Linked DNA regions of Macaca fascicularis. The protein of the gene in region 2 purifies or fractionates together with the protein of the main gene of each other region. This does not show direct contact. Links are inferred from orthologs where the notes say so. Each region holds a gene or a part of one and is shown on either strand. Other genes may lie near its edges.

Evidence for each region. The genes of interacting proteins can lie anywhere in the genome.
Region 1: the proteins of SF3B2 (region 2) and PRPF8 purify together in Homo sapiens (affinity purification with mass spectrometry; 3 studies listed by BioGRID and IntAct, with this or other methods). This does not show direct contact. The link is inferred for Macaca fascicularis from reciprocal best matches to the Homo sapiens genes SF3B2 and PRPF8.
Region 3: the proteins of SF3B2 (region 2) and SNRPA1 purify together in Homo sapiens (affinity purification with mass spectrometry; 5 studies listed by BioGRID and IntAct, counting the BioPlex papers as one, with this or other methods). This does not show direct contact. The link is inferred for Macaca fascicularis from reciprocal best matches to the Homo sapiens genes SF3B2 and SNRPA1.
Region 4: the proteins of SF3B2 (region 2) and RBM17 purify together in Homo sapiens (co-immunoprecipitation; 4 studies listed by BioGRID and IntAct, counting the BioPlex papers as one, with this or other methods). This does not show direct contact. The link is inferred for Macaca fascicularis from reciprocal best matches to the Homo sapiens genes SF3B2 and RBM17.

What each region holds. Positions count from the first base shown.
Region 1 is NC_088390.1:1,796,434-1,799,953, reverse strand, and holds part of PRPF8 (pre-mRNA-processing-splicing factor 8), read left to right. Parts: coding exon 1-82; intron 83-874; coding exon 875-1,113; intron 1,114-1,348; coding exon 1,349-1,495; intron 1,496-1,674; coding exon 1,675-1,885; intron 1,886-2,082; coding exon 2,083-2,199; intron 2,200-3,520. UniProt on the Homo sapiens protein: Plays a role in pre-mRNA splicing as core component of precatalytic, catalytic and postcatalytic spliceosomal complexes, both of the predominant U2-type spliceosome and the minor U12-type spliceosome.
Region 2 is NC_088388.1:8,327,889-8,331,408, reverse strand, and holds part of SF3B2 (splicing factor 3B subunit 2), read left to right. Parts: intron 1-1,013; coding exon 1,014-1,121; intron 1,122-1,411; coding exon 1,412-1,554; intron 1,555-1,639; coding exon 1,640-1,741; intron 1,742-3,520. UniProt on the Homo sapiens protein: Component of the 17S U2 SnRNP complex of the spliceosome, a large ribonucleoprotein complex that removes introns from transcribed pre-mRNAs.
Region 3 is NC_088381.1:86,339,015-86,342,534, forward strand, and holds part of SNRPA1 (U2 small nuclear ribonucleoprotein A'), read right to left. Parts: intron 2,219-3,520; coding exon 2,172-2,218; intron 1,901-2,171; coding exon 1,798-1,900; intron 1,192-1,797; coding exon 1,112-1,191; intron 700-1,111; coding exon 624-699; intron 1-623. UniProt on the Homo sapiens protein: Involved in pre-mRNA splicing as component of the spliceosome. Associated with sn-RNP U2, where it contributes to the binding of stem loop IV of U2 snRNA.
Region 4 is NC_088383.1:7,062,535-7,064,943, forward strand, and holds part of RBM17 (splicing factor 45), read left to right. Parts: intron 1-939; coding exon 940-1,013; intron 1,014-1,488; coding exon 1,489-1,587; intron 1,588-2,409. UniProt on the Homo sapiens protein: Splice factor that binds to the single-stranded 3'AG at the exon/intron border and promotes its utilization in the second catalytic step. Involved in the regulation of alternative splicing and the utilization of cryptic splice sites.

The sequences.
Region 1 (3,520 bases), on a different chromosome or scaffold from region 2:
CAATAGGCTGCTGCGCCTCATCGTGGACCACAACATAGCTGACTACATGACAGCCAAGAACAATGTCGTCATCAACTATAAGGTATGTCTCAGGCACAGTAGCACGAAGTTGTGTGTGGAATGGTTGTCTGGCCCACTGACTCAAAATTTGCTGCGGGGGAGGCCGAGTGCAATGGTTCACGCCTGTAATCCCAGCACTTTGGGAGGCTGAGGCGGTTGGATCACAAGGTCAGAAGGTGGAGACCAGTCTGGCCAACATGGTGAAACCCTGTTTCTACTTAAAAAAAATACAAAAATTAGTTGAGTGTGGTGGGTGCCTGTAATCCCAGCTACTCGGGAGACTGAGGCGGGAGAATCACTTGAACCCAGGAGGCGGAGGTTGCAGTGAGCTGAGATTGCGCCACTGCACTCCAGCCTGAGGGACTGAGCATAACTCCACCTTGGAGGGGAGCCGGGGGAATAGAATTTGCCAAGGGGAGAACAAAAGAGGTTGACCCTGGAGAATCCTGGGACATGGCTCAGGTTGTTAAGAATTGTCGTTCTTGGCCGGGCGCGGTGGCTCAAGCCTGTAATCCCAGCACTTTGGGAGGCCGAGACGGGCGGATCATGAGGTCAGGAGATCGAGACCATCCTGGCTAACACGGTGAAACCCCGTCTCTACTAAAAATACAAGAAAATTAGCTGGGCGAGGTGGCGGGCGCCTGTAGTCCCAGCTACTCGGGAGGCTGAGGCAGGAGAATGGCGTGAACCCGGGGGAGCGGAGCTTGCAGTGAGCCGAGATCGCACCACTGCACTCCAGCCTGGGGCACAGAGCAAGACTCCGCGTCAAAAAAAAAAAAAAAAAAAAAAAAAAATTGTCGTTCTTTCTTTCTAGGACATGAACCATACGAATTCATACGGGATTATCAGAGGCCTGCAGTTTGCCTCGTTCATCGTGCAGTATTATGGCCTGGTGATGGACTTGCTTGTATTGGGATTGCACCGAGCCAGTGAGATGGCTGGGCCCCCTCAGATGCCAAACGACTTTCTCAGTTTTCAGGACATAGCCACTGAGGCTGCCCACCCCATCCGTCTCTTCTGCAGATACATTGATCGCATCCATATTTTTTTCAGGTGAGGGCTTACCTGGATTCCTAGCCTTGCAGGGTACTGAGGCATATGCTTTGCCTCTGAAATCAGCTATTGTAGCTGAGTTGGCTTAACTGCTGTTGGGGCTTTAAAATGGAACGAAGCCCGGAGAGGGTGGGGGTAGGATGGGGTGGGGTCTCCGTCTGTGGAGCTGGAGGACCCTTGGGGTCCCAGATCTCAAGTGTATTAGGGCCTCAGCAGTGTACTTGGTCTGGTGTAGGTTCACAGCAGATGAAGCTCGGGACCTGATTCAACGTTACCTGACAGAGCACCCTGACCCCAACAATGAAAACATCGTTGGCTATAATAACAAGAAGTGCTGGCCCCGAGATGCCCGCATGCGCCTCATGAAACATGATGTTAACTTGTGAGTCCAGGTTGGGGCTGTGTGAGCTGGAAGGACATAGGCTAAGGGCCCAGAGAGGGCATACCTGAGGCTGTGTCCTGGGTGGGAGACGTGTGGCTGTGGCAGGATATCATCAGTTGGCCTTTGAAGGGAAGTTCCTTCCAAGAAACTGATGTGACCATATGGTTCTCTGTGGGCAGAGGCCGGGCAGTATTCTGGGACATCAAGAACCGCTTGCCACGGTCAGTGACTACAGTTCAGTGGGAGAACAGCTTCGTGTCTGTGTACAGTAAGGACAACCCCAACCTGCTATTCAACATGTGTGGCTTCGAGTGCCGCATCCTGCCTAAGTGTCGCACCAGCTATGAGGAGTTCACCCACAAGGACGGGGTCTGGAACCTGCAGAATGAGGTACAGCCTGGGAGGGGCTGGGAGTGACATGAGTGCGCCTGCACTTGCTGGGTGAGTGGGAGCCAGGAACCACGGGCATCCCTTGTCCTTGTCAGTCACCGGAGCCTTGTTGGGTGGAAAGGCTTAGTGGTGAACACAGTTGGCTCTTGCTTCTATGGGAGTTCCTCAGACAAAGTAACCTTGACTTTGTGGTTTAGGTTACTAAGGAGCGCACAGCTCAGTGTTTCCTGCGTGTGGATGATGAGTCAATGCAGCGCTTCCACAACCGTGTGCGTCAAATTCTCATGGCCTCTGGCTCCACCACCTTCACCAAGGTACAAGGCCGTCATCCCCAGCTTCCCTCTTGTCCTCTGCTGTCCTCTGCTCATCTCACATCCCTTTCACTTCCCCTGATGGCTTCTCCTTCCTTCTCCACTTTGCTTAGTGTGCCAGTTTCCATGCTCTGTGCAGTAGCGGCTTACAGTGTCAGGTCACTTTATAGTTATTTTCTGAGAATTCCTTGTAGGAATTCTGCAGTCTCCTTCTTAACGGAGTTGTGATGATTCTAAATTAAGGCAACAGTAAAAGTTGGATTTATTATTTTGAACAGAAGAACATTATTTTTGCACTTTCTTAGGGGCTTGTCTAAATTATGTTAACCAGTGGCATAGAGAACCTGTGAAAAAGCAGCTCTCCTAGGCATCTCAGAGTTTGTTTCTCCTTCACTTACCTTTAGAGGCCCAGCTGAAGGCAACTGGAATTGAGAAAGAAAAATCTGAGGAATTTCGAACTATGTATATTGAAGTTTTCACAAGATTTAAAAAGTTACCTTGGCCAGGCACAGTGGCTCATGCCTGTAATCCCAGCACTTTGGGAGGCCGAGGCTGGTGGATCACCTGAGGTCAAGAGTTTGAGACCAGCCTGGCTGACGTGAAAATACAAAAATTAGCTCTGCTAAAAATACAAAAATTAGCCTGACCTGGTGGCAGGTACCTGTAATCTCAGCTACTTAGGAGGCTGAGGCAGGAGAATCGCTTGAATCCAGGAGGTGGAGGTTGCTGTGAGCGGAGATCTTACCATTGCATTCCAGCCTGGGCAACAGAGCAAAAACTCTATCTCCAAAGAAAAAAAAAAAGTTACCTCACTCTGGTTTCCATTAGAGTAACTGTTTTTTTTTTGAGACGGAGTCTCGCTCTGTCGCCCAGGCTGGAGTGCAGTGGCCGGATCTCAGCTCACTGCAAGCTCCGCCTCCTGGGTTTACGCCATTCTCCTGCCTCAGCCTCCCGAGTAGCTGGGACTACAGGCACCCGCCACCTCGCCCGGCTAGTTTTTTGTATTTTTTAGTAGAGACGGGGTTTCACCGTGTTAGCCAGGATGGTCTCGATCTCCTGACCTCGTGATCCGCCCGTCTCGGCCTCCCAAAGTGCTGGGATTACAGGCTTGAGCCACCGCGCCCGGCCTAGAGTAACTGTTAACTATAACATTTTTCTTGTATTTGAACGTTCACATCTCAAAATGTATAGCATTTACATGCACAGAATGTTTTCTGTTTTTTAGTAAGTCTTCTGTTAAGGATACGTTCTATTATGTTTTAGAACTATTGCATTATGGTTGAGTTTCCTTTATCCAAAATTCTTAGGACCAGAAATGTTTTGG
Region 2 (3,520 bases):
TTGTCCTTTCATTCATTCTTGGCTGTTTCTGCTTTTGAACTGGAAGGTGATTTTTTTGTTTTCCTTCTCTAACTCCACCATGTGTTTCTTTATTTAAAAAAATTTTTATTGACACATAATATTTGTCATATACCATGGGTATGTGTGGAAAAAACAAGTAAATGGTTTTTGTTTTTTAAAAAACTGACATGCTCATCATAAAATATTCAGTCAGAATTGACAAGTACAAAGATGAAAGCAAGTCACAATTTTACCACTCAGAAATAGCCAAATTCACTATTTGGTGAATGTGTTTCCAGATATGTCTCTGAATATAAGAATGGCCAGAGAGAAATAATTTTATCTTAGCCAGATGTGGTGTCTCAACACCTGTAATCCCAGCACTTTGGGAGGCTGAGGTGGGAGGATCCCTTGGGGCCAGGAGTTTAAGACTAGCCTGGGCAACATAGTGAAACCGCATCTCTACTTTAAAAAAAAAAAAAAGAAAAGAAATAATTTTTTTTTTTTAGTTTCACTTCAATCTATCAGAAATAATTTTATCTCAAGAATGTCTTCAAATTTATTCTTATTTTAAAGTAATCATTAAAAAAATTGACAGATAAGAGTCATTAAAGTAAAAAAGTAGTATTGTTAAACTTTAGATAGAAACTTCCGCCCCTTAAGATAAATAGATTCTGAACAAGCTAGCCTTCCAAAGTTAGGAAAACTCAGTAAGAAATTGAAGTCATGTTTTCAACGTACGTATTTTGGTTTCAGACAGCAGAGACTCTGCCATGACAGAAGAGGTTATTAGCATACTTTCTGCCTCCTGTCTCCTTATCCTGTTGCCTCCAGATTTTAGTTGTTTATTAATTTTGGTTTCTAATGCTTCATAACATTTAATTTTATTCTGCAGTCATAATTTCCGGAGTTCCCAAGTGTCAGCTCTGTACTTTTGAGTGTGCCTTTTCTCTAGGGCTTCAGAATTTCTTTTGCAGCTAAGGAGTGAACTGATTGTGCTCACTGCCTTGCAGAGCTGTTCCTTTGGGTACCATGCTGGTGGCTGGGGCAAACCTCCGGTGGATGAGACTGGGAAACCGCTCTATGGGGATGTGTTTGGAACCAATGCTGCTGAATTTCAGGTATGGGCTATGTACTGGCGATCTTGGTTTTACTTAACATCATGAAGGTTAGAGATTGTTGGTTTATAGCTTCATTATCAGGGAGTTGCGTGTTCTGACACAGCAGAGCCTGGAAAAGGGCAAACATTTTCCCGAGATGTTAACGCAAGCCCCTCACTGGAATTTGAGCTCTAGGTAGGTAGGGATTATTGTCTGTGTGTTGACTCTTAACACCCCTTCAGCTTAAAACAGCCTGGTACATAACAGGTACTTAGAAAACATTTGTTGACTGATTAAGTGATTTCTTTCAGACCAAGACTGAGGAGGAAGAGATTGATCGGACCCCTTGGGGGGAACTGGAACCATCTGATGAAGAATCCTCAGAAGAAGAGGAAGAGGAAGAAAGTGATGAAGACAAACCAGATGAGACAGGCTTTATTACCCCTGCAGACAGGTGGGGGAAGCAGAGAGTGCCTCTTGGAAATGGCTTATCTTTGGGGGCCTTCTCTTTACTCCAGAGCTTGTTCCTCTCTTCACAGTGGCCTCATCACTCCTGGAGGCTTCTCATCAGTGCCTGCTGGAATGGAGACCCCTGAACTCATTGAGCTGAGGAAGAAGAAGATCGAGGAGGCGATGGATGGGTGAGGGTGCCAGACAGGGCTTCACTTCCCGTTGGCTGACTGGCTGACTGTTGTTCCTTTCTCCCCCATCCCTTTTTAAAAAATTATTGAACCAACTCTGCCAGGCGATACTCCAGGCAGGGAGGAGTCAGCAGTTGAGGTAAACTGGTAATCAGAGAACAAGATACTTTCAGATGTAGATAAGGATGCTCAAGCAGAGGAAACTGGGTAATGGGATGGGGGGGCAGGGAGGCCTTTGGGAAGGCCTCATTGGGGAGGTGGTGCTTGAACTGAGACGCGAATGGAAAAGCGCCAGCCACAGGATCATCTGGATCAGAAGTAACAGTAAGTGCAAGCAAGTGCAAAGGCCCTGACACAGGGATGCGCTAGTATTTTGAAGCTCCATTTTTAGGTACTTGAATGTGTGGTGTTGTTAGGTCTTCATGAATTGACCCCTTTATCATGAAATGACCCTCTCTTTATCCATTCTGCTCTTTGTTCCCTTTTTCCTGTTTTTATACCTTCTTTTGGATTACTTGAACAATTTCTATGATTCCATTTTATCTCCAGTGTTGGTTAATTAGCTGTTAAGTTTTTGCTTTGTTATTTTAGTGGGTGCTCTGGGGTTTATCGTAGATCATGTCTATATCAGGATCTAGCTTCTCTTGATGTCACACTGCTTCCAGATGGCATTAAGAGCCGCGATAGTGTACTTCGCTCTCCGCCCAACTTTGCACTGTGTTATCATGTATTTACATGTTATAAATCCTGTACTGTATAGTTATTATTTTTGTTTAAATGGTCAGTTATCTTTTAGGGAGGTTTCAATAAGAATCATGCATGAAGCCATGTAGTTACCATTTTTGTTTCTTTCATTTCTTTGTGTAGATACAGGTTTCTATCTGATATCATTTTTCCTCTGCCTGAAGGGCTTCCTTTAATGTTTCTTTAGGGGTCATGGTGGCTTACGCCTGTCATCTCAGCACTTTGGGAGAAGGCTGAGGTGGTAGATTGCTAGAGTCCAGGAATTTTGAGACCAGCCTGGGCAACATAGTGAGACCCCATTTCTACAAAACAAACATTTCTTATATTGTGGGTCTGCTGGTTTTGAATTCGTTCAGCTTGGGTAGTCTTAAAAATTCTTTATTTGGCCTTCATTTTTGAAAGATCGTTGCCAGGTATAGGATTCTAGGTTGACAATTTTTTTTCTTTCAATACTTTTTTTTTTTCTTTTTGAAATGGAGTCTCGCTATGTCACCCAGGCTGGAGTGCAGTGGTGTGATCTTGGCTCACTGCAATCTCCACCTCCTGGGTTCAAGCGATTCTGCTTCAGCCTCCTGAGTAGCTGGGATTACGTGTGCATGCCACCACATCCAGCTAATTTTTATATTTTTGTAGGGATGGGGTTTTGCCATGTTGCCCAGGCTGGTCTCGAGCTCCTGGCTTCAAGTGATCCACCTGCCTTGGCCTCCCAGAGTGTTGGGATTATAGGCGTTAGCCACCACATCAACCTTCTTTCAGTACTTTTAAGATGTTGCTCCAGTGTCTGTCTTCTTTCTTGCATTGTTTCTGGTGAGAAAGCTGCTGTCATTCTTACGTTTGTTCCTGTGTACATAATGTGTCATTTTTATTTGGCTGTTTTTAAGATTTTATCGCTAGTTCTAACAATTTGACTGCAATGTGCCTAGGTGTAGTTTCCGAGTGTTCCTTTGCTTGGGGTTTTTAAAGCATCTTAGATCTGGGTTTTTAGTTTTTATTAATTTGGGGGAAATTTTGGTCATGATTTCTCCAAATATTTTC
Region 3 (3,520 bases), on a different chromosome or scaffold from region 2:
CAACTACCCAGAAAACTAAGTATCAATCACCTACAGAAATTCACAGCAACTTCTCCATTTGGAATATTAAACACTTCGGTGTTGGGGGAAGAATGTTATTGGCCCACAAAAATAAAACTAGAAGCCAAAACACAAATTTCTAAAATTGGTGAAGAGATGCAGGCCTTCTTATAAAAGAGTAAATAATCACTCCACATGTCCTAAAATCATAGTTAAGTGAAGTAACTATTTGGAATTAAATTACTGAATAATTTAAGGAGGCAATATTATAAAACTAGGGTCCCTACTGATCAGCCAAAAGGATTTGCCAGACAGCAAATCTTTGAAAGTAAAAATTAAGGCAAACACTGAGACAGCATACCAAGGTAACTAACTGTTCAAAGTGATAAATGCACCCTGGAAAATGAGAAAGACAAAGCTGCCTCTACATTAATCAGCTTGTGTAATTTTAAGTCTGATCAAATAATAACTTTATGCTAGTTTTTCCTTAAACAGAAATATTGTTATATGCTAATAACTGTGGGAAAAAAAAATCTGCAATGTTCAGAACATGTTTATTATCCAACTTTGTGTTCTGAACCCATCTTAGCTCGTTCCAGTCAAGAAGCCTAACACATGATTACCTTGATTGCTTCTACATCCCCTGGAGATGGCCCACCTTTCTTTTTGTCAGTTGGCAAACCAGCACCTGGATTAAAACTTAAGAGGGGGAAGAACATAACTGTTAAACCTAGACCAACAGAAGTTGCTTCTCTTTTACTTTCAAAAGCTTTTGAAAGTAATTCAACCAGTGTAGTATCTTATCTTTGTTAACAAACTGATACAAGAACTCTCTCCTTCAGAAACACCATCCAGTTCATCTTTCTATATGGAAAATAGGATGTACATGGTATCACATTGAGACTGACTACTGAAATATTTGCTCTGCTAACCTGGTAGAAATTTCTTGTGATGTATGGACCATTGATGTACATGGACTATAAGCACTCAAATTTAATACCACATTAATATGTCAGAGTTTTTGGTTAATTTTGTAGGAGACGAACTGCCAGACAGATCAGATCATGTTTCTGAAGGTGAAGTAGAGTTAAGTTGGATATCCGTGTCTTACGTTTTGCTTCTCCTGGCAATATCCTTTGCAAGCTGTGCACCCCGTTTGCCCTTGAACATTTTCTCTGCTTCCTGACGCTCCTACAGCGACACCACACACAGAGTTAATGGAAATAGGAATACCACATGCATTTAGATGCATTCCTCAGAAGACATGGAAGCGAACTCTCCTACAATACTCCAGGCTGGTGAAAATACCAAAAAGCCAATTTCAAATTAAGAGAAGACACAGTGGTCTTCTTTCTTTGGTAAAGCTCCCTGAAGAAAGTTCACTCTCCTAGTTCCAAGGAGGGGATCCCAGGGAACTAAGAAGGCAATTATATAAATAATAAAATAATGAACTCCTAATAAAGGGAAAAACCTTCCTAACAAACAGAGCTGCACAAAAGTGGGTTACATTAAGTTCTCCACTAGGAATGTATCTAAGCAGACAATCCAGAGTGTTCACTGTGGCCTCAACATTTTGCAAACTTTGGAATGGCCAGCATTACATAAAAGAGCTTTAACTTAAAGTTCTATCATAAACTCTGCTATTAGAAAAAAATTTGACGTAACATTTCCCCCCCACTTTCATTACAAACTAATGGTAAAATTTACTTATTTAGACAATTTTAATAATCAGTGATAAAAATATAAAGAAAAACACACAACTCTATAATGACTCACAAGCAACAGATTACGACTTACTTTTAGTTTCACTTTCTGGAAATCCAGTACTCTGACTTGCGGAACTTTATAAATCACATACAATCTGTAATGCTTCTTATTGGTTACCGGATTTCTTAGAATACTACAAGAAAAAAAGTAACACAATGGCAAACTTGTTCATGGCACAGCACTCAAAAGGTCTGTTTGAATAGTCTAAGGAACCTATAAATCAAGGGAACATTCACAATTCTTCACATTTCAACATTGTAACAATTTACCATTAAGGAAATATATTCAATATTTCTTTGTAAAAGGCACTTTTAATTAACTGATTACATTAAGGTCAAGGCTGGTAAAAGTAATGTTATTTTAAAGGACTTCATTCATTTTGTCACAATATGTAATTCCCATACCTTAGGTAAGTCAGTGATTTGAGAGATGCCAGAGGGTCCAGATCACCCTGTAAAGTAATGGCCACAGGTAAGAACACGAATACTACATGCTATTTTGAGATTTGGAAAGGGAGAGTGCTTTTGAAGCAAGTTGTCTTTTATTTATTTACTTAACTTTTACTCTCTAGCACCAAGCCCAATACTAGCACATCACAAATGTTTAAATAATTTCTTTCTTTTCTTTTTTGTGAGACGGAGTCTTGGTCTATCGCCCAGGCTGGAGTGCAGTGGCACAATCTCGGCTCACTGCAAGCTCTGCCTCCCGGGTTCACACCATTCTCCTGCCTCAGCCCCCTGAGTAGCTGGGACTACAGGAGCCTGCCACCACGCCCGGCTAATTTTGTTTTGTATTTTTAGTAGAGACGGGTGTCATGCATGAAGAGACCACCAAACAGGCTTTGTGTGAGCAATAAAGCTTTTTAATCACCTGGGTGCAGGCAGGCTGAGTCTGAAAAGACAGTCAGCAGAGGGAGATAAGGGTGGGGCCGTTTTATAGGGTTTGGGTAGGTAAAGGAAAATTACAGTCAAAGGGGGGTTGTTTCTGGCGGGCAGGAGTAGGGGTCACAAGGTGCTCAGTGGGGGAGCTTTTTGAGCCAGGATGAGGCAGGAAAAGGAATTTCACAAGATAATGTCATCGCTTAAGGCAAGGACCAGCCATTTTTACTTCTTTTGTGGTGGAATGTCATCAGTTAAGGCGGGGCAGGGCATTTGCACTTCTTTTGCACTGATTCTTCAGTTACTTCAGGCCATCTGGGTGTCTATGTGCAAGTCACAGGGGATGCAATGGCTTGGCTTGGGCTCAGAGGTCTGACAAGGGGATTTCACCATGTTAGCCAGGATGGTCTCGATCTCCTGACCTGGTGATCTGCCCGCCTTGGCCTCCCAAAGTGCTGGGATTACAGGTGTGAACCACCAGGCCCGGCCGTGGGCCTCCCTCTTATTAGAAATCATGTCCCAACACGGCCCTGCCCTGAAGAGAAACTTCTGGAACAGACGCAAATTGGGTAGATGGCGGGGGAGGGGTGTGTGTGTGTGCAAGAGTCACAATGAGAAAAAAATACAGATAAAAACAGGGAGAGCAGAGCCAGAAATTCTCAAAAAGCAAGCTGGCATCTTCAAATAAGTCACAAAAACCACCAGAGGGAGCTCTAGAGCTTGATACTGTTTTACCCCCACTGAAGATGATCCAAAAAGGAATAAAGAACAAAGTGGTAACATTTGTTACATACATAGTGTAAAACATAATGGTGATGTAGTGATGGGTTTCAAGAATAAATATGTAACAAGCTGAAGGGTGCTGAAATGTTGAA
Region 4 (2,409 bases), on a different chromosome or scaffold from region 2:
TGCCACTTCTGTTTTGTGAAGCCAGGAATCCTGAGGCTCATCTTTATTTTTTCAGAACAGAGGTAGAGAGATGAAGGCTCGTGGAGGAAAAGATGGTGAGAGACTTGGGCAGAAAATGAATAGTTCTCAGGAAGAAATCTTGGTTATGTGTTTAGAGCATGAAGGACAGAGCCATATAGTGTGGCAGTGAATATACCTGCCATCTCCATCTCAGAGGTCTTCTCTACTTTTCCCTCTTGCCCTTTCAGTATAGATGTGGTTTCTAATTCTCTTACAGATTGTTTGCTTTGCGAGATCTAATGTTATTTTGCAGTCTCTTGGTAAATGATGCCTAGTTGGTGTTTTATTTTCATTTAATTTTTACAGTCTGTTCTGTATTGAGGGAATTCAGGAAAGAAACATATATTAGCATTTTAATCAGGGAAATTAAGTTTGAGTCAGCCTAGCTGAACTTCCTTTGCTAAAGAAAGAAGAAAACTTTTCTGGCAGCCCTGTTCTTGCAGAGCTTAGGATACATCACGAGCCCGACAGGTGAGTGCCGGAAACCAGCAGTCGTCCCGACTTGTGAGGTTATCTGAAGTAAGGCAGCCGGTGGCTGGAATAGTAACTGCATATTCCCCTGGGCCCGTGACTTTGAACGTTTGCTACCAGTCAACTCACCTATAGGAATTATCACTCACATGCCCTGTCAGCCCTTGGGGAAGTGAGATGAGCAAAAATTGCAGGTAATGATGGAGGCTCAAAACATCCAGATGCTATTGTAAAAACATGCCAAAGCAAAGCAGAGGCTTTTGTTGCAGATAAGGCTGTGTTTTTGCTTAAAGACCAATTGTGTAGATGCTTAGGACATAAATGGTGGGGATCGCTATTGAAATTAAATTAAATTATTATAAGTAGGACTCAGTTCTGTAACACATCTAATGATATGTTTTGATACAGATGCATCCAAGAAGTCAGATTCAAATCCACTGACTGAAATACTTAAGTGTCCTACTAAAGTGGTCCTACTAAGGGTAAGAAGCTGAGGAAAGCAAGCTGTCGGCCTGCCTAGATTTGTGTGTGTCACCCCAACCTACCCTGCTCCCCCTAAAAGTTAAAACTGAAAATGATCCTTTTGCAAATAATACTTTGGGCAGATCCCACGTAAGGCTGATTTTAGATTTTTCACTAATGTGTAAGTCTCTGCTAAGTACAGTGTTTAAGACTGCAGTGAGTAATTACTTTCAATATTTGAAATTGCAAGAGCTTCAGCTAGTTTATACATTTTGGTGCTTACATAGGTGCTTTTGTAACTCTTTACAGGCTTAATGTATGTTTTAGTGTTTTAAGAAATACTAACTTTTGGGTACTTTGGGGATGAAATTTTTCATTGTGTCATTTGGGATTGAGAACATTTACCATCACTAAAGTAAGTCATATTTATATATCCCTGCTAGGTGTTTGTAAGTTATACTTGGTACTTGAATTTATTTATTTTTGTGTTTAAAGAACATGGTTGGTGCGGGAGAGGTGGATGAAGACTTGGAAGTTGAAACCAAGGAAGAATGTGAAAAATATGGCAAAGTTGGAAAATGTGTGATATTTGAAGTAAGAGTGTTTTCTTTTGATGTTTATAACACAAGTTGTTATTGGCAGATTACAAAACATTTTCTACATACAGGACAGGGTATGCTACAAGTAACATATTCTTACTGCAGAAGGTGACAGGCATTGTTTATTTGGGCTTCTCTTGCTCAATTATTACAGTTTTAAACATAAAGACAAGAATGACTTGGAGTTTTATTTGGTGAAGAAACAGGAATGTTTCATGATTGAGAATCAGTATGGTGACTGAAGACCTTGAACTAGTGTGCTCAGTAGTTTAGTTCCTTAGACGTGCCTTTGGTTTCAGTCATTTGGTGAGTATTTAGTGCCTTTCACATGCACTGCACTGTACGGAGAGCACTTGGATTACAGGAAGCATGCTCTGTACTCAGTGGTGTGTTCAGTTGAAGAAACACAAAAATAACTAAAGGGTATTCAGTTACTAGACTGGGTAGTATTGACTAAGTTCAGGAGTTGAGACAAGAATTAGATCAGTGAAAACATAGAGACTGCCTTGTGAGCAATAGCAGATGTGGACTGCGCTTTGAAAGGAAGAGGTGAGATTTGCAGGGAAGGGTATTCTGATTGGGATAATGGCTCCTAGGAGACAGTGAAGATCAGGACTACCAAAATGGAATGGATGGGCCCACTGGAGATTAGCAGAAGTGCTTAGGTGGGTGGAATGGACCACATTACAGTGGGCTAGGAAAGCTAGACAGACCTAGTCAAAATGAGACCTGATGTGAAAGGCCACTAGGAGTACCAACCTTTTTAATCTTAAAACTCTGCTTACTCTGTTTCTTTATCCTGTTGCTGTTTGTTGAC